Oryctolagus cuniculus: one gene and its partners. The protein of the gene in region 7 interacts with the protein of the main gene of each other region in a pairwise test. Links are inferred from orthologs where the notes say so. Each region holds a gene or a part of one and is shown on either strand. Other genes may lie near its edges. The genes, in order: RIBC1, TXLNA, FAM110A, FAM81B, SH2D4A, DCX and RINT1.

The links.
Region 1: the proteins of RINT1 (region 7) and RIBC1 interact in binary tests that used the Homo sapiens proteins (3 or more experiments, as listed by UniProt). The two-hybrid records come from large-scale screens. The link is inferred for Oryctolagus cuniculus from reciprocal best matches to the Homo sapiens genes RINT1 and RIBC1.
Region 2: the proteins of RINT1 (region 7) and TXLNA interact in binary tests that used the Homo sapiens proteins (3 or more experiments, as listed by UniProt). The two-hybrid records come from large-scale screens. The link is inferred for Oryctolagus cuniculus from reciprocal best matches to the Homo sapiens genes RINT1 and TXLNA.
Region 3: the proteins of RINT1 (region 7) and FAM110A interact in binary tests that used the Homo sapiens proteins (3 or more experiments, as listed by UniProt). The two-hybrid records come from large-scale screens. The link is inferred for Oryctolagus cuniculus from reciprocal best matches to the Homo sapiens genes RINT1 and FAM110A.
Region 4: the proteins of RINT1 (region 7) and FAM81B interact in binary tests that used the Homo sapiens proteins (3 or more experiments, as listed by UniProt). The two-hybrid records come from large-scale screens. The link is inferred for Oryctolagus cuniculus from reciprocal best matches to the Homo sapiens genes RINT1 and FAM81B.
Region 5: the proteins of RINT1 (region 7) and SH2D4A interact in binary tests that used the Homo sapiens proteins (3 or more experiments, as listed by UniProt). The two-hybrid records come from large-scale screens. The link is inferred for Oryctolagus cuniculus from reciprocal best matches to the Homo sapiens genes RINT1 and SH2D4A.
Region 6: the proteins of RINT1 (region 7) and DCX interact in binary tests that used the Homo sapiens proteins (3 or more experiments, as listed by UniProt). The two-hybrid records come from large-scale screens. The link is inferred for Oryctolagus cuniculus from reciprocal best matches to the Homo sapiens genes RINT1 and DCX.

The regions. Positions count from the first base shown.
Region 1 is NC_091453.1:37,533,130-37,536,629, reverse strand, and holds part of RIBC1 (RIB43A-like with coiled-coils protein 1), read right to left. Parts: intron 833-3,500; coding exon 716-832; intron 1-715.
Region 2 is NC_091438.1:140,273,197-140,277,422, reverse strand, and holds the start of TXLNA (alpha-taxilin), read left to right. Parts: upstream 1-1,426; 5' UTR 1,427-1,594; exon of another isoform or gene 1,595-1,621; intron 1,622-1,736; exon of another isoform or gene 1,737-1,951; 5' UTR 1,952-2,141; coding exon 2,142-2,307; intron 2,308-2,799; coding exon 2,800-3,138; intron 3,139-4,226. UniProt on the Homo sapiens protein: May be involved in intracellular vesicle traffic and potentially in calcium-dependent exocytosis in neuroendocrine cells.
Region 3 is NC_091442.1:26,831,807-26,835,806, reverse strand, and holds the start of FAM110A (protein FAM110A), read right to left. Parts: upstream 2,801-4,000; 5' UTR 2,563-2,800; intron 1-2,562.
Region 4 is NC_091445.1:18,096,874-18,100,373, forward strand, and holds part of FAM81B (protein FAM81B), read left to right. Parts: intron 1-3,284; coding exon 3,285-3,500.
Region 5 is NC_091439.1:3,452,112-3,455,611, forward strand, and holds part of SH2D4A (SH2 domain-containing protein 4A), read right to left. Parts: intron 1,754-3,500; coding exon 1,552-1,753; intron 1-1,551. UniProt on the Homo sapiens protein: Inhibits estrogen-induced cell proliferation by competing with PLCG for binding to ESR1, blocking the effect of estrogen on PLCG and repressing estrogen-induced proliferation. May play a role in T-cell development and function.
Region 6 is NC_091453.1:82,099,631-82,103,729, forward strand, and holds the start of DCX (neuronal migration protein doublecortin), read left to right. Parts: upstream 1-1,299; 5' UTR 1,300-1,812; intron 1,813-3,562; 5' UTR 3,563-3,584; coding exon 3,585-3,948; intron 3,949-4,099. UniProt on the Homo sapiens protein: Microtubule-associated protein required for initial steps of neuronal dispersion and cortex lamination during cerebral cortex development. May act by competing with the putative neuronal protein kinase DCLK1 in binding to a target protein.
Region 7 is NC_091434.1:138,802,863-138,806,362, reverse strand, and holds part of RINT1 (RAD50-interacting protein 1), read left to right. Parts: intron 1-626; coding exon 627-764; intron 765-2,254; coding exon 2,255-2,454; intron 2,455-3,500. UniProt on the Homo sapiens protein: Involved in regulation of membrane traffic between the Golgi and the endoplasmic reticulum (ER); the function is proposed to depend on its association in the NRZ complex which is believed to play a role in SNARE assembly at the ER.

The DNA of each region.
Region 1 (3,500 bases), on a different chromosome or scaffold from region 7:
TGCCAGGCGGAGAGCCCTTTCAGGGCAGGGACCAGGCCTTATTCATCTTTGTATCCCCACTGCCCAACACAGTGGTCAGCACAGAGCAAACCCTGAGGAGTGCACCTTGTTAAGACTCATTGCTACACTTCCTTTATTTTACCTCCTTGTACAGAGGAGGAGCCTGGAGCTCAGAGACGGCGGGTGACTTATCCAAAGTCACATCTATCCAACAGCAGACCTGGCTTTGAACAGGGGTATGGTGGTTTTTCCAGAAGATCCCATGCTGAATCCTCCTCTATCCACCCGCCCAGCCATCTTTTAGTTTGTTTCTTACATTATTGGTATTTTGTCTTTATTTTTTGATCGTGATTCATTTAAAACATTTCCAAATAGTACAACAGGAAATACTGTTTAGTGTACCTCAGCCTGGTAAACAGTTTTTTATGTAGCCTTAAAGAGCTGGCTCAGGCATATACAATACTGAATATTCTTCAGGCCTCTTTTGGCTCAAACCCAGGCTACACAGCCCAGAGCTAACCTGGGAAGAGTCAGTTGCCATCCCCAGGCTCTTGTGCTATACCAGGCCCTGGGCCTGGGGTAGGGGTGGTGATGCCTTCTCCCCATCTCCTTCCGTTCCAGCCCTAGGGCCTGTTTGAATCAGGGAAAGGGCTATGACAGGCGCTGTTGCATTCCTCTCCGGGTAGAAGATGAAGTGGCCCTACTGCCCACTTACCCCTATGACTCGGTTCCGCACATTGAAGAATCGGCTTTGTCGCTCTTTTTCTCTATTTCTTCTGGCCTCAATGGCTGCCACTTCCTTGGGATCGGATGGGAAGTCTAATTTAAACATCTGGAGAAAAGGGGAAGTAGAATGGCCCATCAGTGCAAGCCCCCAGCCTTGAGTATACTCCACCCTCTATTCCTCACCCTACCGCTTCCTAGTGATTTGATTTTCCAGCATACTTCGTATCTCTGTTTTCCATCCCTGTCATCACCACCCTAATTCAGGCCTCACAGTGGTATCATGCAACATTCCCAGAGCCTCACTGGCCTTCCTTGCCCCATGGTCACCCTCTCTGCACTGGCTTTATCTGAGCTAGGCTACCTGAGTGATCTTTCCGAAAGCAAACCTGACTGTGCCATTCCGCAGCTTAAAACCTTCAAAAGCAGCTTTCGAGTAAACGGCTCCATGGTGCTTACAAGGCGGGGTCCAGTTCCCCATTACTGGATCTATAAGGTTCTTCATCATCTGAGCCCTGCTCACTTTTCTAGGCCTCAAAAGCACAGATAGCACTTCCCCCTTTTCATTATGATCTAATGAGTTTTCCTCGTGTCAGTAAATGACATCACCATTAACCTAGTTGCTCAGGCCCCAAATCCCGGAAGCATCCTTGAATTCTTCCTCTTGCTCCCTCTTCCTTCAAGCCCCCATTATCACCTTCCTGAGTGACTACAAGAGTCTCCACATTGCTTTTCCTGCTCTCTCTGTTGTCTTCTTTATAGCCTGCTCATCACACAGAAACCAGAAGCAGCTCTCTTTTCTCTAATCAATTCCCCCAACCCTGTACTTTTGTGACTTATTTTCTAGTGGAACGAAAGGATAGAGTGTTTATATCTACCTTTGTTCCTTCAGGTTTTCAGAAGCTCACTTGTGGCATTGTGAGCCAGCCAAAGCTGCAGCCAGAAGAAACTCTGCAAACAAATCTGATGATATCTCTTACCTACTTAAAGTCTTTCATTGAACTTAGAATAAGAGCCCAACTCTTCACTGTGGACTTTCAAGATCCAGTTCCTTTGATTTCTCATGCCACTATCTACCTTGTCTCTAGTGCCCCAGGCACAGGGGCCTCCTACCAAGCCCAGGGACACAGCAAAACTGTTCCCACCTCAGGGCCTTTCTATGTGGTGTTTCTGTGTTTGCAACATCATTCCTCAACTCCTTCCATAGCTATTCTGGTGTGTTTGTTTGCTTTTGAAACCATTTTGTGACTATCAAGTAGTTGATACACACAGGAAAATACATACAACCCATATGTCAGTTAGGAAGCATGAAAATAGAGACCCATGAACCAACTCTCCAGAGGCAGAGAGAAAGCGCGCGAGAGAGGTATCTTCTATCCGCCGCAAGTAATGAGCCATTTCTCCAAGAGTACCCCAGACACCAGCCAAAATGTGTTACCATTCCATTGTGTTCATTAATATTCTGAGTATACGTATGGATCTCTAGACAATATTTAAATTTTTTTTTATTTTAATAAATTATCAGGCTGTACATATTCTTCTGCACCGTGCTTTTCTCATTCAATGTTCACTGCACCACCATTTAACAAATACCTGTGGAGTGTCTACTAGTGGCTAGACACTTCTGTAAGCCTTTGGGAGACCACAAAGAACAAAACTGCCAAAAATCCAAATTCTTTTGGAGGTTGCTTTTTAGTGGAGGCAGACAGATAATAAAGAGTAAAACAAAAATGTATGTTAGTTTGTAAGATGATAAGTGATATAGGAAAATATAGAATATATATATATATATATATATATATATATATATATATATGGAGGGAGAGAGGGAGGGAGAGAGGGAGAGAGCGAGTGAGCCAGCACCAAGGAGATGGAGGAGTGTTGCAATTTATGGAAATGAGAAGCACCATGGCTGAGAAGGCAAGGGGATCACCCATGCAAATATCTGGGAGGAAAGCATTCCAGGCAGAATGAACAGCAAGCACAAAGGCCTCAGCACCAGGCAAGTGTGGTTGGTGAGACCGAGTGAAAGACAGGTGGGGAGGAATGACGTCAGAAAGATGACGGGGCACCAGACCATGCAGTTTATATTATAAAGCCTTTGGCTTTAACTGAGAAAATGAGCAGCTGTTGGAAGGTTTTGAGCAGTGGACTGATGTGGTCTGCCTTTTGACTTTTTTTTTTACAACTTATTTTTATGTATTTGAAAGGCAGAGGGGCTGGCGCTGTGGCGCAGCGGGTTAAAGCCCTGGCCTGAAGTGATGGCATCCCATATGGGCGCCGGTTCTAGTCCCGGCTGTTCCTCTTCTGATCCAGCTCTCTGCTATGGCCCAAGTCCTTGGGCCCCTGCACCCGTGTAGGAGACTCGGAAGAAGCTCCTGGCTCCTGGCTTCAGATCGGCGCAGCTTCCACCATTGCGGCCATCTGGGGAGTGAACCAGCAGATGGAGGACCTCTCTCTCTGTCTCTACCTCTCTGTGTAACTCTGTCTTTCAAGTAAATAAAATAAATCTTTTTTTAAAAAAAGGCAGAGTTACCGAGAGAGAGGGGGAGACGCACATAGAGAGATCTTGGATCAACTGGTTAACTCCCCAAATAGCTGCAAAGGCCAAAACTGGGCCAGGCTGAAGCCAGGGGCCTGGAACTCCATTTGGGTCTCCTACATGGGTGCAGGAACCCAAGGACTTGAGCCATCTTCCGCTGCTCTCTCAGGCCATTAACAGGGAGCTGGATAGGAACTGGAGCAGCTGGGACTGAAACCAGCATCCATGTGGCATG
Region 2 (4,226 bases), on a different chromosome or scaffold from region 7:
TCGGGACTAATCTGGTTAACACTAGGGAGCTGCAACAGTGGCAGAGCACTGGGAGGGTTTTGATGTGCTCTTTGAGATGGCTCTCAAGTTTGTTGTTTATTTTTGCCATAAGTGCACTTTGGAAGAAAAATAGCAAGCATCTGCAAAAACCTGAGAAACCCTGTGAATCATAAAAGTAGAGTTGGAGCAAAAAACCCAAGATTGGATGGAAGAGGCAAAAGCCAAACCACGTAGGCTCTTCAGATTCCAGGTGCAAAGAGTACTGGGTTTTATTCCAACGTCTATAAGCAGCGGTGATAAAGAATTGTGACCTCGGGGCTGGTGCCTGCAGTGCCGCCATCCCACATGGGCGCCAGTTCAAGACCTCCTAGCTGCTCCATTTCCAATCCAGCTCTCTGCTATGGCCTGGGAAGGCACTGGAGGATGGCCCAAGTCCTTGGCCCCCGCACCCAGTGGGAGACCTGGAAGAAGCTCCTAGCACCTGGCTCCTGGCTTCGGATCGGCGCAGCTCTGGCGGTTGCGGCCAATTGGGGAGTGACCCAGCGGATGGAAGACCTCTCTCTCTCTCTGCCTCTCCTCTCTGTGTAACTCTGCCTTTCAAATAAATAAATAAATCTTTTTAAAAAATTGTGATCCCACCTTTGGAGAAAAATCTGGCCTTTTCAGTTTTAGCCCTAGTACCACAAGGACTTTGTACAAAATGGGACGAAGAAGTTTCAGGAATGGGCCTGAGGTCAAACACCCCTGCAGGGACCCCTCTGCCCCTTCCTGCGGGACTGCCGAGCTTATTGGGGGGGGGGGGGGGTAACTACCTTTCACAAGTTACCCGGGCTCTTGGAGAACGCCTGCAATGGTGATTATTTCTTCTGAGTAAAAGGCAGGGTAGCGGAGTAGTCAGGTTCTGAACCACTGCTCGAACCCAGCATCTGTGACCGTGGGCGAGCTGTCTAACGCGAGCCTTACAGCCCTCTTCCGTTAAATGGGAATGACAAATAGTACTTATCTCCAGCAGCTAGGAGGCCAGGGCTTTTAAGAGACCAGGGAAGCACACGGGGTGTGCTCAGAGAACCGCTACGGTCACTGAAAGCCTGCGTCAGAATAAGGAAATCGAGGCAGGGAGAGAAAAGAACGTCCAGTCGCGTGGCACCTAGGGATGAAGTCGGACCTGGAACACAGGCCTGCCTCCCAGCCCAGGCCTCTCCGGAGTCCCCGGACTGACGGAGTGTGGACCGAGGCACGCGGGCGCAGTGAGGCTGGGCCGCACAGGGCTTCTGCACGACACCGGCGAGGTTGACGTGGAGGTTTGCTCAGAACCACCGGCTCCCCAGCCCTCCGGAGTCCGCGGCTCTGAGGACGAGAGCATCCTGGGAGTTGTGTCGACCGATGCATGGTGGGACGTGTAGTCCGCTCCTGTCCCCGCCCTCCCGATGCACCCGCCTTGGAGGCCGCCTTCGCTCCCGGCTCCCGGCAAGCTCCGCGCCAGCGCCGGCTACTAATTGGCTGTGGCTCGGACAGGCGGCTCTGCCGGCAGCGGTTACCCAGGGTTTCCGGTGCGAGGCCAGCGCTGGGGACGCGGTCGCACGTCGCCCGTGAGGTGAGCCCAGCGGCGGGACGACGGACGGTGAGGGCCTGCAGACCTGGACACTTTCGGCCAGCGGGGAAATTGCTCCGATTTCTGCGCGTGGGCGGCGGCGGGGGTGGGGGGAGTCGGGGTGACGCTGTGCGCATGCGCGCGACTGGAGGGCGCGCGGGGCGTGGGTGGCTGCGTGCGCGCGGGCGCGGGAGCCCACGTGGGACCTGGGGCGCGGGGGGAGGGGTCGGAGTCGAGCGTCCCGCCACGTCAGTCTGCGGCCGGGAGCCAATCCCGCGCCGGGCCTGCCGTGAGGGGCCGTGTGGGGCCGGGAAGTGGCTTCGGGGGGAACAAGGAGGCCTCTCTCCTCACCCGCTCCAGGAGCAGCGCCCCGGAAACCCGCCGGGGTGCGCCAGGCCCCCTGACCGGCCGGACAGCGGGAGAACCGTTGGCTCCCTCCGTTGAAGGTGCGCCTGGGCTGTGATTTCTGATCCAGGCTGCGAAGAATTCTGTGGAAAATAGCAACTGTGTTTCTCAAGGATCCAATCCCAACCTAAGGTGGCAGCGCACAATGAAGAATCAAGACAAAAAGAACGGGGCTGCCAAACAGCCCAACCCCAAAAGCAGCCCGGGACAGCCGGAAGCAGGAGCGGAGGGAGCCCAGGGGCGGCCCGGCCGGCCGGCCCCCGCCCGAGAAGCCGAAGGTGCCAGCAGCCAGGCTCCCGGGAGGCCGGAGGGTGTGTGCCAGCTCTGCGTTTCCAGCCGCCTGGGGGAGGAGTTCGCGGCCCGGCCCAGGGAGGAGGCAGCGGGGATGTGGAGCATCCCAGGCTCTGGGGAGGGGAGGCCCTTGCAGGCTTCTCGCAGGTGGCCGGCACCTGAGGCCTCAGCCAGTGACGCCGGGTTCCATCCGAAGGACCTCGGTCACCAGTGTGGGTCACTGCCCTTGGTTCGTTGTCGAGGCATTTCTGGAGCTGCTTGCATAGCAAGCGGGGGCTTTTAGAGGGAGGGGAATGGACGAAACATTGAGTTGCCTGCCTCCTGCGACATGGCAGTCCCAGGTGCCGTACGTACTTATTTTATGCTTGAACAAACTGTATTGGGGAGGTTGCGAGAATTAAGTAAGCTGGGGCAACCTTAAACCTGAACCAGTGAGGCTGGCTGGGCTCACGATCCCAGGTGGTGGTCTAACCTTGCCGTCTGTCGCTGCCTCTCGTCCTCTCCTGCCCTAGGGGCTCAAGCCAAAACTGCTCAGCCTGGGGCGCTCTGTGATGTCTCTGAGGAGCTGAGCCGCCAGTTGGAAGACATACTCAGTACATACTGTGTGGACAACAACCAGGGGGCCCCGGGTGAGGATGGGGTCCAGGGTGAGCCCCCTGAACCTGAAGATGCAGAGAAGTCTCGCGCCTATGTGGCAAGGAATGGGGAGCCGGAGCCGGGCACCCCAGTAGTCAATGGCGAGAAGGAGACCTCCAAGGCAGAGCCGGGCACGGAAGAGATCCGGACGAGCGATGAGGTCGGAGACCGAGACCACCGGAGGCCACAGGAAAAGAAGAAGGCCAAGGGTCTGGGTGAGCAGAGGGCAGCTGCGGGGGGCTGTGGGGAGGGCTTTGCACCTGACATTCCTTGGGCTGTGCAGCAGGGAGTCTCCCTGGTTGATTCAAAGCGCAGGGTATTCCAGCCACAGGCCGGAGTCGTTCAGGTTGGGAGCAAGTGAAATGGAGCCTGATCCTCATGGACAAAGCGGAGAGGTTTGGATGGGCTCTGTACCTGCCCACACCGCTTCGTCCCTGCTGTGTGACCTTGGGCATGTCCTTTCCCCGCCCTGGGCAATAGTTTCCAGTTCTCTACAAGGAGAGGATTGGGCTAGGCCAAAGTTGCAAACGCAAACGTCTGTGTAAGCCAGGACCGAGGGAGGGCCTGCTTTCTGCCCAGGGTGGACTGCAGCCTTGTTCCTTGAGTGCTCTGCACTGTGCCTGCTGCCAGCTCGTCAGTTGAGAGCGTGTTGAACCTCAGACTGGGTGCAGCTGGAATTTTATTTTCTGTTAAGAAAAGCCAGAAATCAAGAGTCTGGTGAAATCTGTAGATTTCAGTAGTAGAAACCAAACAAAACCCATGCATGAGCCGGGTTTGGCCTGTGTGCCAGTGATTGGCATCTCTGTGCTGGTGTCTTCGGGCCTCCGCAGGCTGAGCAGCCTGGAGCCTGGTCAGCAGCCCCTGGGGAAAGGCCCCCCACTGGGCACAGGCAGTGGGGAAGTGGCAGAGACGGTTTTTTGACAGCAGAGTTCGTGTCTGTTAAGAATCTGGGTTAGATGACATTGGACTTGTGTCCTAGTCCCTGTCTCGCCGCCCTTCCCCCGCCCCCAGCACTTGTCACCCTAATTGAAAGAGGAACTTTTTTAAAGAATCATGGGAACACACATTGAAGGTCTCTTCATTATAAGGTTCCCTGTTTGGATGCCTCGTACACAGGGCTATAGATTTCTCACGGAGGCCAGGAGACCTTTTCGGATCCTGCTTCTCTGGGAAGGCCCCACTTTGCATTGAAACAGTAGCCCTGAATTTGCAGGTGGGATACCTTTTATCTGCTGGGAGGCAGACAAGCTTTTCTCCCACCAGTGGTGCCCCCCCCCCCCCGAAGGAATTCCAAGAGGTTTTG
Region 3 (4,000 bases), on a different chromosome or scaffold from region 7:
CACTTGTCAAGTGCTTAGCACATAGTCAGCGTTCAAGTGGTGCTGGGAACTTTGGTCCTCTGTGGAGTGGGCAGGAGGCCCCTCCCCTTCCTTCCACCTGCTTCTCTCCTGGCCTTGGGTGCAGACGGTGAGGCCCTCGCCTGCCCCAGCAGAGGATCAGCAAGGCTCCAAGCAGTAGCAGCCGCAGCTCGGTTTCAGCCCAGCTGTCCAGGGCAGAGACACCCGGCTGGGCGTCCTCCAAGGCCACGCTAGGCCTCAAGCTATTTCTGGAGGCTTCCCAGACGCTCGTGCCCTGGCCTGCCCAGGAGCCGGCCTTGCCCTCGTCTCAGGAAGGCAGAGCCGAGCAGGCTGTGGGAGGGGTGTGGGTGTGGATGCCCAGGGCACTGAACTCCTGCCTGGCCTGCCCGCATGCCCGCCCCCAAGGACCCAATCTCCCGGGCCTCAGTTGGCACCAGAGGTTGCAAAATGAGGACAGAGGGGCTCGTAGTGGGAATGGAACGAGAGACACCACACACAGGGCCTCGGGGAAGGGCCCGGCCCAGGATGCGGAGGCTGGCCGTTGAGGCAGGCGCACAGCCAAGCCCACTTCACGGCCTAGATTGCCCTCTGCTCAGACCTGAGCTCACCATCCTGGCTTCTCATCTCAGCCCAGAGATGTGAAGAAACTTGCCAAAGTCACACAGCAAGTCAGAGACAAGTCATACAGAGTGACGGTCTCATGAGACACGTGTGTGTGTGTGTGTGTATGATTATTGTTTTCAATGAGGTAATGCATGCACATGGCTCAAAATTCAAACTATAAAGGAAATAAAGTTAAAAAAAAAAAACACAACTCCCTCCACCTCTGTCCTCACTACCACCACCCCCCACAGGCACCACTGGGGCCGGAAAAATTTTAGGCAAAACCAAGCAAGTATGAACACTAATGATTTCCTTTGTACACACATGGCACCACGCTGCGTAGACTGTTTTCACCTGCTCTTCCTTGGCGCACAGTATGTTGCTCTTGCTGCCACGTCAGTAGACAGAGCGTACCCCCCCCCATTTGTTTCCCTGGTCCCCACTGACAGCCACTGTCACCAACCACGCTGCAGCGTCACTGCGCCTACATTTTGCCTGAAATGGGGCGGCTGGGGCCAAGGGATGCATTGGCGATTGCAGCAGAGATAGGACCGCGTGCCCCAGGAGCCACACAAGTCTGTGCCTCACCAGGGGAACACACCGGTTCACTTCACTTAACTCCATGACGGAGATCACGGCCACCGCAGGAAGTGTGTGCCAGCGATGCATGCCTCCTCCCAGCCCCCACCTTCATCGCCTTCTACTGGGAGAAGATAATCAACTCGCTAGCAAGCAGAATTTATAGGACACAGGACAGAGCAAACGAGGAAAATGAGACATCAGGGGAGGGTAGGACACGCAGTCAACAACCACTTCCCGAGGGCAGGCACTGGGCACAGCAGTTCAGCCGCCACTTGGGACACCCACAGCCCATACTGAAGTACCCACCCACGCCCTAGGAAGTAGCACAAGTGCTTGGGACTCTGCCACCCCCGTGGGAGTCCTGGATGAAGTTCGGAGCGCTTGGCTTCAGCCTGGCCCAGTTCTGACTGTTGTGGGCATCTGGGGAGTGAACCAGCAGATGGATGATCACTCTCTGTCTGTCTCCCTGCCTTGCAAATAAAATGAAAATAAATAACTATTTGTGGAAGGAATGGATGAAAGGCTTTTCTTTCTGAATTTTCTGAGCTCTTCTCCCCAAAGCCAGGAAACGGGTCCAGAAGGGAAGAGAATAAGTAACTCTCTTGTGATGAGATTCAGGATTCGAATTCTGCAGTTCTCTGAGTGGAGGATTCTAAGACTGAAGCCAGATGGACCAGGTGACTTCGGGCAAGGAGCCTACCTCCTTCAAGGAGGAAGCTGTTCCCCCACCTACCAAAGGAGACCAACAAGAGCAGGTGCAGGGAGAGGGGTCCCCAGGAGGCAGAGCAGGGTCTGGCCCAGCTCAGAGGCTCCACCTGGAGGGCCCCAGCCCCAACCCCACCCCCAGTGTTTAGGGACTGCTTCAACCCCTCTCCCGACCCCAGGCAGGTTCCCAAGAAGACAACAGCGTCTCCGAGGGTTCAAGAATCTACTGCCCACTTGGCATCTATCCTGGAAACGTCGGTCCCCTCCCATCCCCAGAAAGAGGGCCCTGGGAGGGGGTGTTGGGATTCAGAACCCCCGACAGCAGAAGGGCCCCAGGCGCGCTGGGTCTCCTGAGGACGGTGCCGAGTGGGCAAGGTAATCCAGCCAGGAGTTCAAGGGCCGTATCCGTGCCGAGGACAGACTGGGAAAGCAACCGCCGGTTACCTCTGGGCCTCTCAAGGCAAATTTGCACCTGCCTAGCCTTAGCGGCTGCGCAGGGGTAAAAAAAGACGGCCTAGGACCCTCGTCCTTCTGAGTTTCAGCTTCCGTATCTGAAATGGCACGCAGATCATACGCGGGGAGGACGCCCGGGAGCGCTGGGCGGACGCAACTCCCAACACCCGGGCTCGCAACCGGGACCACCCCCGAGCTCACCTGGAGCCCGCGCTAGGCGTGTGAGGTTGACAGCTCGGACCCGGGCCGGGGGTGGCCGCGCCCAACGCAGGCAGGTCCCAGCCCCGCGCGGCGACCCGCAGGAGCCTCTTCGGAGCTGCGCGCGGCACCTGAGACGCGCAGGTGTCCCGGTGTTTCCGAAGGCCTCCCCGGAGCGAAGGTCCCCGGGTCGCGGAGGAAAGGGAAGTGGGCCCGCCGCTCCCCACCCCGCAACTTCCCCGGAATGGTTCGCTCCGGACTTCCTGATTGGTTCCTCGCTTCCGTTCGAACGCCGCGGCGCCCAGGTTGCCAAGCGACCGCTTAGCTTCGGCTGCGCGCTGGAGGCGACTCACAGCCCCGCCCCTGCCGGCCCGGTGTCCTCCCGGCGGCTGCGGGAGCTGGCGCCTGGCTCTTTTCCTGTCTTCTCCCTACTTCTCGGGTTAGGCCTTCCTCTGGGGATCCAGCTGGAAATGGCACTAGTCGGGGCCTCGGGCAGGTTCCTAGTCCTGTCTTTGTCCCTAATTTGCTGTGTGACCGCAGACCTGTCCCTGTCCGTCAGAAGAGAGGTCTTTCTAAAACCTTGCATATCCGGCCGTCCCGAAATTTGCAAAGGAAGTGGCTCCAAACTGAGCAAATGTCAGTAGTAACCCAGCAGTAGTCGGCTTAGTGAGATGATGCGGAAACAGCAGCGCTTATCAGGAGGTCTGGTTACGCAAATGCACGCTGTGCCAGTGGCTTCGTGTAACCTAACCGCGGCAGGGCCCGCGTCACATCCTTCGCCACGGTCTGGTGAGGAACAGTATGCAGCCACCAAAATGATGCACTTAAAATATATTTAAAGATATGGTGAAATGCTAACGGAATGTTGAATTATTAAAAGTTGCTTCAAAGTCCTATGCATACATATTATATGTAACCGCAATATGTATATATGCATAATCACATAATAATAGTAGTTAATTTCTTTTTATTTGAATGTTTTTGTTGTACATTTTTTAAAAAAAAACTTTATTTATTTGAAAGGCAGAGTCAGAGAGAGAGAGAGGAGAGAGAGAGGTCCTCAAAATGGCTTTAATAGCTAGGGCTGCACCAGGCAGCAGCCAGAAACCAGGAACTCCATCCTGGTCTCCCATGTGAGTGGCAGGGGCCCGACTCCTTGGATCATCTTTTGCTGCCTTCCCAGGCACGTTAACAGGAAGCTGGATGGAAAGCAGAGTAGCCAGGACTTGAGCCAACACTCCAGCTGTGGGATGACAGCATTGCAAACTGCAGCTTAACCCACTGTACCACAAAGCCAGGGCTTTGCGGGTTTTCCTAAAGTCCATCACGTGGACTTGTCAAGAGGGGGAAAGAAAAAAAAAGACATTTTTAAGGGCACTAGACTAAATTCACCCTCCAGGCCCTTTGATAGAAATTTGATAGTTGTCAGTCACTGTTTGGG
Region 4 (3,500 bases), on a different chromosome or scaffold from region 7:
TTAAGACTGGGAATAAGAGAAGGAAGAGATGTACAATTCGGGACATGCTCAAGCTGACTTGCCCCAAATGGTAGAGTCAGAAACATACCAGGGGATTCCAATTCAATCCCATCAAGGTGGCATGTTCCAATGCCATCTCACTAGTCCAAGTGATCAATTTCTGTTCACAATTGATCATAATGATACGACTAAGAGTTAAAGGGATCACATAAACAAGACTAGTGTCTGCAAATACTAACTGCTAGCATAAAAAAGGGAGAGAATGATTCAACATGGGAAGCGGGATACACAGCAGACTCATAGAATACCAGATGTTGGCCTGCGGCACCGGCACACCAGGTTCTAGTCCCGGTCGGGGCGCCGGATTCTGTCCCGGTTGCCCCTCTTCCAGGCCAGCTCTCTGCTATGGCCCGGAATGCAGTGGAGGATGGCCAAAGTGCTCGGGCCCTGCACCCGAAAGGGAGACCAGGAGAAACACCTAGCTCCTGGCTACGGATCAGCATGATGCGCCGGCCACAGCGCGCCAGCCATGGCAGCCATAGGAGGGTGAACCAACGGCAAAAGGAAGACCTTTCTCTGTCTCTTCCTCTCTGTCTACTCTGCTGGTCAAAAAAAAAAAAAAAAAAAAAAAAAAAAGAATAGCGATGTCCTAAACAACACTCTGGCCTCAGAATCAGCCCTTAAGGCATTTGGATCCAGCTGAAAAGCCCGTGAGAGTATTTCAGGTATGGAAAGCCAAGACACTCTGGCAAAAAACAAAAACAAAAAAACAAAATAAAACAAAACAAAACAAAACAAAAAAAACAAACCTAAATGAAAGATCTCCACGAGTGCACGAGTGAGATCCCAGTGGAAAGAACAGGTCATCAAAGAAAGAGGTACCTTTCTCTGAAGGGAGAAGAGAACTTCCACTTTGACTCTGACCCTGTCCAAATATGATCAGAGTCGGCGAACTCAAAAGGCTTCCATAGCCTTGGCAACTCATGACAAGGGCCTAGGGTGATTACTGACGCCATAAACAAGAGTGTCAATTTGTTAAGTCAACAACAGGAGTCACTGTGCACTTACTCCTCATGTGGGATCTCTGTCCTTAATGTGTTGTACATTGTGATTTAATGCTATAACTAGTACTCAAACAGTATTTTTCACTTTGTGTTTCTGTGTGGGTGCAAACTGTTGAAATCTTTACTTAATATATACTAAACTGATCTTCTGTATATAAAGAGAATTGAAAATGAATCTTGATGTGAATGGAAGGGGAGAGAGAGCAGGGGGTGGGAGGGAAGTTTTGGGGGCGGGGGAGCCATTGTAATCCATAAGCTGTACTTTGGAAATTATATTCATTAAATAAAAGTTAAAAAAAAAAAAGGTTTGTTAGTATCAAGATGTCACTGTAAAGCTCCTAAAGTGAGAGTGAGAGTTTATAAGTACCCCCCTCAAAAAAATTAATGATATCTCCAGAAAAATTCTACTTCCTTAAGGGAAAACTCAGTAATACGTGTTTTCAGACATATGACTACACTCATGCTTTGAGATTCTCCATATTGTTAGCAAACACATCAGAGGCTGAGAAATTCGCTGCTAAATACTTCTTCCTCGGCTGGTTAGCTCACTTGCCTACAGCACTGTGTTATTATGGAAAGGAAAATTATTCTGCTTTCACCAGACACCAAGGACGAGTCCCAAACAGTAACCCATCCTTCTCAACTTAGTCACAGGCTAAGTAAGGTAACATAATTTTTTTTTGTGAGAAAAGTTGGAGTCAGGGAAAGGCTCAGCATTTCATCTATGTTGCAACAGGAGAGCCTGAAACTCACTGTTCACCCCTCCCATTTCTAGGCTCCCACGGTTCTCTCATTCATTTGCTCTTTCGCACCTGACCACAGTGGCTTCAGTGAGGTGGAAAGGCTACCTGCAGGGGGCTGAAGAGGTCCAACAGAGACTATGCACAGACTCCTCTCCCTAAGTTGTGAAAAAGCTGCAAGAGGACTGGTTTTCTTTGCTTTTTCTTTTTTTCATTTGTTAGGTCTTTCATTACTTATAAACCTTATTTTGCAGCTTACATCAACAGTTAATGTGTTTTAGTCTGATAATCCTTAAAAAGAGAAATGATTGGGGCATAGCAGGTGAAGTTACCACCTAGAACGCCAGCATCCCACATGGGTGCCAGTCTGTGTTAATTCCCTGCTAAATGCCTAAGAAAGCAGCAGAAGATGGCCCAAGGGTCTGGGTCCCTGCCATCTGCACAGGAGACTTAGATGAAGTTCCTGGCTTCGGCTTGGCTTAGCTCTGGCCATTGTGGCCATCTGGGGAGTGAACCAGTGGATGAAAGATTCTCTTTCTCTCTCTCTCTAGATCTCTGTAGCTCTGTCTTTCAAATAAATAAAATAAATCTTTTAAAAAAAATCCCACAAGGGGGTGGCAGTTAACAATATAATCACACATACTTTAGTCTGGTAATTTTTCTGATTGCCTCATCAAAAAATATAGCTCCTATCAAATGTCTAAAATATGCTTCTCATTTATAGATGCTCCTTATTATGGCAAGTAGTACAAGAATAGTGAAAATTCCTATGCAGATCAAAACCTCTTACAAAACAACATATATCTTCATACTCTGAAATATCTTCTTGACCAGAGTATGACTATTTTATCTGAAGTAACATACGACACAGCCAAACTCCACAATAAACAAACGGGGACCGTTTCCTAGATTTTGTGATGCGATCTGATTACTATATAATGAAAGGCATATGACTGAATTTTATATCTGTGTTTGGGGGTCTAACAATGACACTGATTAGCTGTCTGGCAGTTTTTCCTTTGGGAATTATTTTTCTATTAAAGAGACAACTGAACAGATGACAGCTGAGATGCCAACTAGAAGTGGCATTTCATAGGTCTACAATGTGAGGATTCTAACTACAGGGGACTCCATTTCTAAATACTGATTTATTCCTAATATTAAGTGAACAAGCCCCTTAGGGACTTTATAGTATTCTAAAATTTAGATTTTCAGCAAGGGATATAAGCATTAGCTGGAAGATATTTATTCTGTCACAATACAAAAGAATGGCTGCTCCTATTAAGTCTTCCCAGATAATCAGCGACCCAAATTCCCTATGAAACAAAGTGTGACTCCAGGATAATATCCAAAGCACAAATCTAAAAATCTTAAAAATATAGCTTGTTAAAAATTAAAATAATTCTTGGTAGCACAGAATCATTAGTCTTTTCTCCATTTTTTTCCCATTTAGTCCTAAATTCTTTGGATTATCTTTCAGCTACTGAAAAGACTCCTTGGAGAAACATCTATCAAAAGTATACTTTCTTTGATCAAAGATTCACAAGGTTGGACAGCCAACACATGGAACAACAGGCATGTCTACTCGCACTGGACTTCAAGGACAGGTCTCAAACAGGCACTCTTCTTTACCACCCAATCTCTGTCATAAGCATCTTCCGTAATGGCTCCGCTTCCTTGATGTATGTATTTCTCC
Region 5 (3,500 bases), on a different chromosome or scaffold from region 7:
TAAAATCTTAAAAAAAAAAAAAAAGTGATGGCTGGTGCCGCGGCTCACTAGGCTAATCCTCCGCCTTGCGGCGCCGGCACACCAGGTTCTAGTCCTGGTCAGGGCGCCGGATTCTGTCCCGGTTGCCCCTCTTCCAGTCCAGCTCTCTGCTGTGCCCTGGGAAGGCAGTGGAGGATGGCCCAAGTGCTTGTGCCCTGCACCCCATGGGAGACCAGGAGAAGCACCTGGCTCCTGCCTTCGGATCAGCACGGTGCGCCGGCTGCGGTGCGCCGGCTGCAGCGGCCATTGGAGGGTGAACCAATGGCAAAAAAGGAAGACTTTTCTCTCTGTCTCTCTCTCTCACTGTCCACTCTGCCTGTCAAAAAATAAAAATAAATAAATTAATTAAAAAGTGACAAAGAATCTGGATGGGCCTCTTAGGCATTTTATAGGAGCGAAGGAGAGGCTGCTGTCGGTCATGTGTGACATACATGTCACATGCACAGACACGGGACATGTACATCTGTGTGTCTATGGCAATGGCCCTCATTGCTTTCAGAGCAGTCTGGAGGCAGCGGCCTATGGCATTTAACTTTCCTGGGACGCCAACACTGCACACGTGTGACCTTGTAGACTGAGTTCCCATACCAGCTTCCCAAGTAGGTTCTCTTTCTCTGGGAAGTCCTTGGAGTTCAGGCAAAACCCTGAAGGCACAAGAGGAGCCGGTCTCTGTCTCTCCCCAAGACTGGCCTCCAGCTGGCCCCTGTCAGCACTGCTCAGACCCCAGCCCTGACCCCGGCTGGCCTGAACCTCCAGAAGCTCTCCACGCGGCGTCTTCCGTTGGGAAAATGAGCCAACCGAGCCCAGCAGGGACCACAAGGCCGCCTTTGCTGCTGTCAAATACACTGCTCTGCAAACCCGCGGGAGAGGGACATCTGGCCAGCGCTGTGCCCACGTGAGCACGAGGCAGCTGGTGCAGAGTGGTGGGTGCAGGAGCCCACGCACCTTCCCGACCCGCTGAAAAATTCACAGCTTCCCCTCCATGCCCTCACCGCTTTCTTGTCTCGTTGTCCATAAACAAGACAAGCATCCCCCAAAGGCCCACGATGGAGACCGTGGTCACTCAGCGCTGGTGCCCACATGCCCTGGGCCAACAGAAATAATGACACTGGACAGCCAGGTCCACCCTTGCATGTCCTCTGTGGCCACTGCTCCCCGTCCCCGCCCCATGTTCAAGAGGCCTTGAGATCACCACCGGCTCCAAGCAAGGGGAGACCCGTTTGTTTCAGTTCCAGGATTCTCAGTTTGGAGTTTAGAAGGCAAGGCTGTGGGCAGCTCCGATTTTAAACATTCTCTTTCTAAATACTAGGCTATTGGGGGGGTGGGGGGACCATCGTATAATCAGTCCCTGTTAACAACCGGGGTCAGAGGGAACAAAGGCAGGATCAGGAACCCCAGGCAGAGCGGTCAAGGTCAGGCTGGATTACATGAGGCGGCCGGTGCAGGGGTCGGGGTAAGGTGGGTCCACCCGAGTGCATGCACCCTGTCACGCTTCTCCACGTGACCTCTTACCTGGGTGGTTTCGGAGGACACCCGGCCGCACTCAGGAACTGAGGCTTCGGCGGAAGGGGGGGTCTCTTCGGTTTCTGGGGGACGCTCGAGGGGCTCTGCTGCCCCTGGCCACTCCTTCCCCTCTGGGAAAGCCTCTTGTAGTCCTCCCGAGCTTGCCTGGCCAGGGAGCGTCTCTTCTCGTCGGCCGCTTTGGATTTTCGCACTAGAAAAAGAAAGGGGTTGGGGCCAGGTGCCTGTCAGCCAGCCCACAGGGCCGGGGCGAGGGGGCAGCGCTGGCCCCCAGCCAGCCACGGACTCTGCCGGGCGCTCAGAGCCCTGCGCGGTCCCACCATCGCCTGCTATCCCGACCAGCCTCAGGGCTCACTCTCCTCTCTGCGTGGGGGCCGGGGGGGGTTCCCCAGAGGAAGAGGAAGAAGAAGGGGTGAGGCAGGGATGGAGAGGGTGCACACGGGGCAAGGGTCAGGCGGGCGAGGCCTTGAATGATCAGAGGCCTCTGCCACGTCCCTCACGCCCTCTGCACGGGGCCCAGCGAGCCCTGCGTCCCAGCAGAGGTCCAGCGGGCAGGAGGGCCCAGGTCACACCCAGCCCAAGTGAGCACGGCCAGAGGGCCTGGCGGACAACACACACGCCCAGGCCGCCTTCTGACGCTGCGTGGCGACTCGGAGGGCCTTTCGTTCTGTTTTAGCACATGCAGTGTTACGGCCTCTGATGCGGGAGCCACTGCTGACTTTCACCACAGGCACTGACTCTGTGGGCATCACCGGCCAGGCCCTGTCAGGCTGGTGCACCTCAGAGAAACCAAATACCCTCCAGGGTGCTGGGATGCCACCACACAGCACGAGATGGCCACCGGTTGGAACCTGCGCGTATTTTCATTTCACAAACATGGTCGCTGCGATGGCTTCTGTCGTCCTGGGCTGCAGACCAGTTCAGGATTCTTAATGCGCAGCCGAGACTGCCTCTTCTGGGCCCTGCCTCCACTGGCCTCCAGGGACCCCCCGGGGCACCGTGCCTCATGGGAAGCCTAGTTCCTGGCAAACCACCATGCTTCTAGCATCTTCCAGCACCTTGCTCTCTTTCCTTGCCATCAGCGGTCCTGTCCTGAGACTCGTCTCTGGCAGTGCTCACTCAGAGGGGAGCCAGGGCTGGGGCACGGGCAGGGAGGAAGCTAACCAGCAGGCTCTTCAGCAGCTTAGCACCTCTGCATGGATTGCTAACTTCTCATTCTACACTAAATGTATCTTTTTAGAACTTCGTTTTAGAGAGGCCAGTGCTGTGACACAGTGGGTAAAGCTGCTGCCTGCAGCACCAACATCCTACATGGGTGCTGGTTCAAGTCCTGGCTGCTCCACTTCCGGTCCAGCTCTCTGCTATGGCCTGGGAAAGCAGTGGAAGATGGCCCAAGTCTTTGGGCTCTTGCACCCATGTGGAAGACCCAGAAGAAGCTCCTGGCTCCTGGCTTCGGATCAGCTCAGCTCCGGCTGTTGTAACCATTTGGGGAGCGAACCAGCAGATGGAAGACTCTCTCTCTCTCTCTGTAGCTCTGCCTTTCAAATAAATAAATAAATCTTTTAAAAAATTCATTTTAGACACAGCGAGAGGGACAGAGGCAGAGACAGATAGTAATCTGGTTCACTCCCCAAATGCCTGTAACAGCTCAGGATGGACCAAGGTGGAAGCCAGGAGCAGACCTCCATCCGGGTCTCCCAGGTGGGCAGTGGGCACTTGACTACACAAGCCATCACCTGCTCCCTCCCAGGGTCTGCATGAGCAAGAAGCTGCAGGCAGGAGTCAGAGGTAGGTGTCGGACTCAGACACTCTGATGTGGCGTGTGGGCATCTTCAACACTGTCTCAACAGCCAGCCCAACGCCCGCCCCAAAGTTACCTATTAATTCCATTTTCCATGATCCTCCTGAAATCATGTCTGGGTCTTCCACATGGGTGCAAG
Region 6 (4,099 bases), on a different chromosome or scaffold from region 7:
TTTAATGAATGATTATGATATGTAAGAAAGTACTTTTAAGACATTCACCTCACTGAAATTTCCTATTTTCCTGCACTTATTTTTTGATATTTCTATCTTTCTGATCTGAATAATCCTGATTTTTCAAGTGGTTGCAAGAATGTAAGGCAACAATACATGGAAGAGATCAGTGTGCACAGATGCATTCCACTGAGATACTTACATAGAAACAAAGAGAGCAGCAGCAAGGTGTTGGGAGGACTTCAGCAGGCAGGTTGCACACTTGAAGTTGTCCACTCATCTAATACGGATAGCTTATGCTTTGCTGAGCCAACACCTTCCAAGGAAGAAAAATGCTCATTTTTTTTAATCTCACTTGGTGGCAGCTTACAGTAAAACAAATTCACAGAAAATGCTTAAATATGAAAGATTAACAGATCTATATAAAGGGGTTAATTTACTAAGAATCAGACATATAGTAATTGCTGAGTGTACTTTTTACCTCTGAGCTTCCTGGAAGCCAAGTGAAAATGAAACCATGATAATTCAAGGCTGCTACACATTAATTAATGCACAGAGTTCAGTTGTGAAGACGGTAGCCCACTTTTCACTTAGCCTCTCATCTTTCTCCTCTTGTCTCATAGTTTGGTCTGATCTAATGAGTTTAATTTGGATGCTTCTTTGTCTTTTTAAAACATAGGTGATGTAAAGAATCCAGTTAGTTACAAATAGGCAATTTGAAGAGACAACTCTTAACTTGTAGTCACTGGACTCACTTCAAAGAGAAACATGTCTAGGTTAGGTTTGAACTCCCAATTCTTTTATTTTTTAAGATTTATTTATATTTATTTGAAACACAGTGTTAGAGAGAGAGAGCGAGAGAGAGAGAGAGCGCTTTCATCTGCTGGTTCACTCCCCAAATAGCTGCAATGGCCAGGGCTGGACCAGGCCAAGTCCAGGAGCCAAGAATTTCTTCCAGGTCTCCCACGTGGGTACAGGGACCCCAGAATTTGGGCCATCTTCTGCTGCTTTCCCAGGCCATAAGAGAGAGCTGGATCAGAAGAGAGCAGCTATGACAAACCGGTGCCTATATGGGGTGCTGATGCTGCACGTGGTGGCTTTACTTACTAGGTCACAGCACAGGTCTCTAAACTCTCAAACGTTTAAAGGTAAAAAACACAGATTTCATTAACCAAATTGTTATAGTTGCCTAAAAGTCTTTAGGGATCCTTTTCAAATCTATCTTCCATGAAATTCTGGAACTAATTTCTCTTGTATGGACTCTTTCCTACTCCCTCTTAGTCTACTCCACTTACCTCATTTGAAAAATGACCAGTTGTTGGATGCATGAATTAAAATGCCTCAAAATTCACAGATTTGATTATTTTATTTCAAGAGCGTAAAAAAGGAGAGAGCTACAATTTTAAGAAGCCTGGTTTGGTGGGTTGAGCCTGGCTTCCAGGCAGATTAGGTCAAGGTTTTGGCTAAGAGAAATTGCCAATTTTCTAAAAGAAAGGGCTAGCACATTGCTCATTAGAGCATAGTGAATTTGCCTGTGCAACCTTTTTGCTACCCTGCAATTTCCTGTTGGTTATAAATGGAACTTAGCTGTTAATGCAGCCTGTGAATTGAGAAAAAAGAATGTAATTAATCATAGGAGGTTGGGGGGATTCACTAAGCCTGAGTTACAGGGGAGAAGCTGGACAAGGCACTAGGACCTAGAAGGCATCTATCCACCCTGGCAGGAATTTCTTGCTTGGAGCTCAGACAACAAAGGCATAGAGAGATTGGTTTTCTTTCTCTCAGCATCTCCACCCAACCAGCAGAAAACCGGTGAGTGGGGCTTTCCAGTTATTTTCAAGCAGAATGTAACAGATGTCAAACGGGAAAAGCACAAGAGCACAAGGCAAAGCGTGCTCTCTGTCCCTTTCTCTTTCTCTCTCTTTCTCCTCCTCTCCTTTTTGCTTTATTCTGTCGGATTTTTCCCCTTAAAGCTCTACCTGGGATTTTCCTTTGGAAAGTAAGTTTCATGTTCCTTTGTTTTCACTTTGCTGTTAATTTAGAATAATATCTCTGATGGTAAAGCAAAGCAAAGCGTTACTGGCAGGCTGGGAAATGCTTGCTGCTCGTGTTGAGGAGGTGGGGTCTTACCACTGCAGGTTGTCTGACAGAGACAATGCTGAGCTCAGCATAGGTCACGGTGACATTGGAAAAAGGGAGGGGGGCGTCTAGCGTGGCAATCCCACTAGGCACCAGTCTCCCTTTATCTCTTGTCCTCCGGGTCCCTTGCAAATACCTCCATGTGGCAGTGTGCAGCAGCTGAGCCCTACTTGCTTTGTGAGTCCTTTTATGCCTATCTGTGAGATGCATGCTAATAGTTTGATTCCTATGTCACTACCTTTGCTGGCGTTTGGGGCTTTGGTTGTATTTGGCTGGGTGTTTTCATTGCATTTTTGTCTTTTGAGGTTTGGTGGGGGGCTTCTGCAGAAAGGAAAAAGCAAAGCCTGACAGATATCCCTCTTTTTTTTTCTGTAGCTAAATCACCTGGGCAATAGACAAGTTGGGGGTGAATTGCCTGCTGTGAAACCAAAAATGCCCCTTCATTCAGTGTAGAAACCCAGAACAATGAAAGGTGTGCTTGCTTCTAAAGGTCCCATATGCTGTTCCAGGGACTCATTTGGAAATCTTGAAACAATTAGATTATTATTTCATTAAGAGGTGTTGCTGCATCTGAAGGGAGGGGATGAAGCACCTGGGGAAAAAAAAAAAACACAAACAGGATTTTGTGACTAAATGGTATCAAGGGAAAGCAGAGCTAATAACTTGTTAAATGACTGCCTTTTCTAAACCGTTTTCTCATCTTATTTCTTGTGCATGTCAGAGCTCTGCACCAGCTTGGTGGGGGAAAGGGTTTGATGAATAGCACAAAGACACTGGCTAGTCCCTGGAGGCTGTCCCTTTAAAAGAGAATCCCAGTTTGTTCTGGGGGGGAGGGGATGCGCACATTAGAGTAAGAAAGAGGGTTTGGAATAAAATTAAAAGACTCCCCTTCATAGTCATTGTGCTGAGATGCAAAGACCCCTTCCAAAGCTGGAGATGCTAACCTTGGCTAGCTCCTTCTGTTCTCTGAGGGGGAATTTTGTCAAGCTATGGATTCATTTACAACTGTTAGTCATGTGGGCATGTGTGAGGAAACAGATGCCAGTTTTAATGTATTTAGCCCGAAGTTACAATATGATAGGAGCCACTGTCAGTAGTCTCAAGATTTTACGCTATTTCAGGATCCCTCCCTCTCCTGTGTTTGGAACCGTGCCCAAAGTGCCTCCCTCTCTATCTCTTACTCCCAACCCCCACACCCACCAGCACCCCTGCCCCGCCCCTCCTTCTTCTCTATTAAGATCAATATTCCTGCAGGTCAGGGCAAGCAGCAGATGGGTCACGGGCTTTCTTCAACCAGTTCTTTTCACAGGCAGCAGATTGCAGACCTGGATCTGGCTAATATTTGAATCTCTTTCTCTTTTTTTCCCTCCTTGACCCCTTTTCTTTGCCTCTCTTTACCCCTACCCCTTTCTCCAACACTCAGGTTTCTGAGGTTCCACTGAAATATGGAACTTGATTTTGGACATTTTGATGAAAGAGATAAGGCATCTAGGAACATGAGAGGTTCAAGGATGAACGGGCTGCCTAGCCCCACTCACAGCGCCCACTGTAGCTTCTACCGAACCAGAACCTTGCAGGCACTGAGCAATGAGAAAAAAGCCAAGAAGGTACGTTTCTACCGCAATGGGGACCGCTACTTCAAGGGGATTGTGTACGCTGTGTCCTCTGACCGTTTCCGCAGCTTCGACGCCTTGCTAGCTGATCTGACTCGATCTCTGTCTGACAACATCAACCTGCCTCAGGGAGTGCGTTACATTTACACCATTGATGGATCCAGGAAGATTGGAAGCATGGATGAATTGGAGGAAGGTAATTCAAGTAGTGGGTGCTGGCTTTTGGTGGGAGGTGCTCTCATTTGTTATGGTTCCATTCTTAGATTTCATGGAAAGAAATTAGGAAATGTAGTTGTTAATGCATCAGGCTGTTGCTCAGACTTCTGATTTTATAGGCATCAATAGAG
Region 7 (3,500 bases):
TGGTATTTCTGCTGTTGGTAAGATCTTTCTGGTTGTAGTTTTTATTAGTCCACTTTTTGTTACATTAACTAAAATACCTGAGAGGAACTTCCTGGCAAAGAGAAGGTTTATTTTAGTATACAGTTTGGAAGTTACAGTTGAGGCAGTCCCATAGCCTGGTGTATGATGACAGGTGTGGTGGAGTGATCGCATGGTGAGCCAGGGAACAGAGACAGAACAGCTAAGCAGAACTTGAACTCAAATAATCAACACTCTCGGAGAACCACACTTTGAGAACATCGCATCCCTGTCTAAACACTTCCCACCCCTCAGATGCCACAATTGGATCAAGTCTCCACTCAGCCTGTCAGCTGTTAGCAGTAAGACATCAGTGTTTAAACATCTGCTGAGTTTGGGACAGACAGGTCCTACTTAGCCTGTACCATAGTTTGTCTAGTCAGCATAACACTTTGGAGTTTTGGGGTTAGGAGGAGTAAAATATCTGTTTAAAACACAGCATGATAAATATACTCCAATTAATGTGAGATTGTTTGTAGAAAGTTATCATTGATTAAGACATTGTGAGCTGAAAAATTAGGAATTCCTGCAACTACCTATTTAGCATAATCTTTTTTTCTTCATGTCAGTTGCTCTTCAAAAAATGGACTCAATGCTTTCATCCGAAGCTGCCTGGGTATCCCAATATAAGGATATCACTGATGTGGATGAAATGAAAGTTCCAGACTGTGCAGAAACTTTTATGACTCTACTCCTGGTTATAACTGGTAAGTATACATTTTTATTTTTAAAAAATTTTGATAGGTGGAGGGACAGAGAAAGTGTTCTCATGTGATGATTACTTCCCAAATGCCCTCAATGGCTGGGATTAGGCCAAGCACAAAGCTAAGAGCCGGGAACTAAATCCAGGTCTCTAGAATTGTAGCAGGAATCCACTTGAGCCATTGTTGTTGCCTCCCAGGAGCTACTTTTTTTTTTTTTTTTTTTAAAGATTTATTTATTTATTTGAAAGGCAAAGGCAAGAGAGAGAGAAAAGTCCTCTGGTTCATTCCCCACATGGCTGCAATGGCCAGAGCTAGGCTGGTCTGAAGCCAGGAGCTTCTGGGTCTCCCATATGGGTGCAGGGGCCCAAGCACTTGGGCTATCATCCACTGCTTTCCCAGGCACATTAGTAGGGAGCTGGATCAGAAGTGGAACAGCCAGGAATCAAACCGGCACCCAAATGAGATGACAGCACCGCAGGCAGTGGCTTTACTCACTACGCCACAGCGCCAAGCTTATATAATTTTTTAAAAATTCATTTATTTGAAAGACAAAATGACAGAGAGGAGGGAGGGAGAGAGAAAGATCTTCCATCCAGTGGTTCACTTCCCAAATGGACACAGCAGCTAGGTCTGGCCAGGCTGAAATGAGGAGCCTGGAACTCCACCTGGGTCTGGTACTTGGGCCATTTTCAGCTGCTTCCCCAGGTGTGATAACAGGGAACTGGATCAGAAGCAGAACAGCTGGGATTCATACTGGCATCCCTATATGGGATGTTGCCATCACAAGCAGTGGTTTAACCTGCTGCACCAGAGTGCCAACCCTCTTTTAAATTGTTTCTTAAATATTCTATATAATTTTTCATGTATCTTTAAAAAAATGAGGTTTAGGGGCTGGCGCTGTGGCATAGCGAGTAAAACAGCTGCCTGCAATGCCAGCATCCCATATGGGCGCCGGTTTGAGTCCTGGCTGCTCCACTTAAAATCCCGCTCTCTGCTGTGGCCTGGGAAAGCAGTTGAAGATGGCCCAAGCCCTTGGGCCCCTGCACCCACGTGGGAGACTCGTAAAAAGCTCCTGGCTCCTGGATTCAGATCAGCACAGGTCTGGCTGTTGGGGCCATTTGGGGAGTGAACCAGCGGATGGAAGACCTCTCTCTCTCTCTCTCTCTCTCTCTCTGCCTCTCCTCTTTATGTAACTCTTTCAAATGAATAAATAAATCTTTAAAGAAAAATCAGTCAAAAATATTTAAAAAATTAAAAAATGAGGTTTAACTTATATAAGGTGAAATGCACAGAAATTAAGTATACTCTTCAATGAGTTTTAACAAATATATGTACTTGTGAAACCCATATTCTTAGAGAGTCAGAATTGGGAAAATGGGCCCATACTTGAATGACTTTTTTTTTTTTGGTTAGGCATTAACGCAGGTCAATAGGAAAAATCTGTAACTGTGCCTTGGATCAAAAGTCTTCATAAGTCATAACTTTCTCCACAGACAGGTATAAAAATCTTCCCATGGCTTCCCGTAAGCTGGAGTTCTTGGAGTTACAGAAGGACTTAGTAGATGATTTTAGGATACGGTTAACACAAGTGATGAAAGAAGAGACTAGAGCTTCCCTTGGCTTTCGATACTGTGCGATTCTTAATGCCGTGAACTACATCTCAACTGTACTAGCAGACTGGGCTGACAATGTTGTGAGTTAATGTGCTTTATTAAGTAATACATTAGTAATTTGAACTGTTTTCCCTTTCAAATGTTGAATCTCTTGAAAGCAAAATATGTTACAATCACAATGATGCCAAACTTAAAAAGTATGATTGAAGTACATTATTTTGCTTAATCAACCTCAAATAGTTAAACAATCCTAAAATTTTAGAGTACTTAAGCACTGTAAAAAAGCAGAAGCCGTTCATGAAAAACTTTATACAATGAACCTTTTGCCTCTGTGGACTTCACATGTGGGAAATATTCATGCATGGCAATCACTGACAAGGCTAAGATTAAATCATGATGTCAAAGTCAATAAAATTCAAAACTTTAAGGAAAATAGAATAATACTTCATACCTCTCGGATGTGTTCATAATATAACAAATTATGAAGAATCATAAATATATTAATTTATGTATCTTATATTCAAATATATACAAATATAAATAGAATAGGAAAATGAACCCATTTGGCTATTACCTAGCTTCTTCTTTTTTTTTTTTTTTTGACAGGCAGAGTGGACAGTGAGAGAGACAGACAGAGAGAAAGGTCTTCCTTTTGCCGTTGGTTCACCCTCCAATGGCCGCCGCGGCCGGCGCGCTGCAGCCAGCGCACCGTGCTGATCCGATGGCAGGAGCCAGGAGCCAGGTGCTTTTCCTGGTCTCCCATGGGGTGCAGGGCCCAAGCACCTGGGCCATCCTCCACTGCACTCCCTGGCCACAGCAGAGGGCTGGCCTGGAAGAGGGGCAACCGGGACAGAATCCGGCGCCCCGACCGGGACTAGAACCTGGTGTGCCGGTGCCGCTAGGCGGAGGATTAGCCTAGTGAGCCGCGGCGCCGGCCCTATTACCTAGCTTCTTACAAAAATTTTGTATTTTTTTTTTAACATTATTTATTTACTTGAAAGGCAGAGTTACAGGAACGAGGTAAGAGAGAGAGAGAGAAAGAAAGATCTGTACCTGCTGGTGTGCTCTTCAAATGGCCACAACAGCCCAGGCTGAGGCTAGGAGCCAGGAACTGCATCCAGGTCTC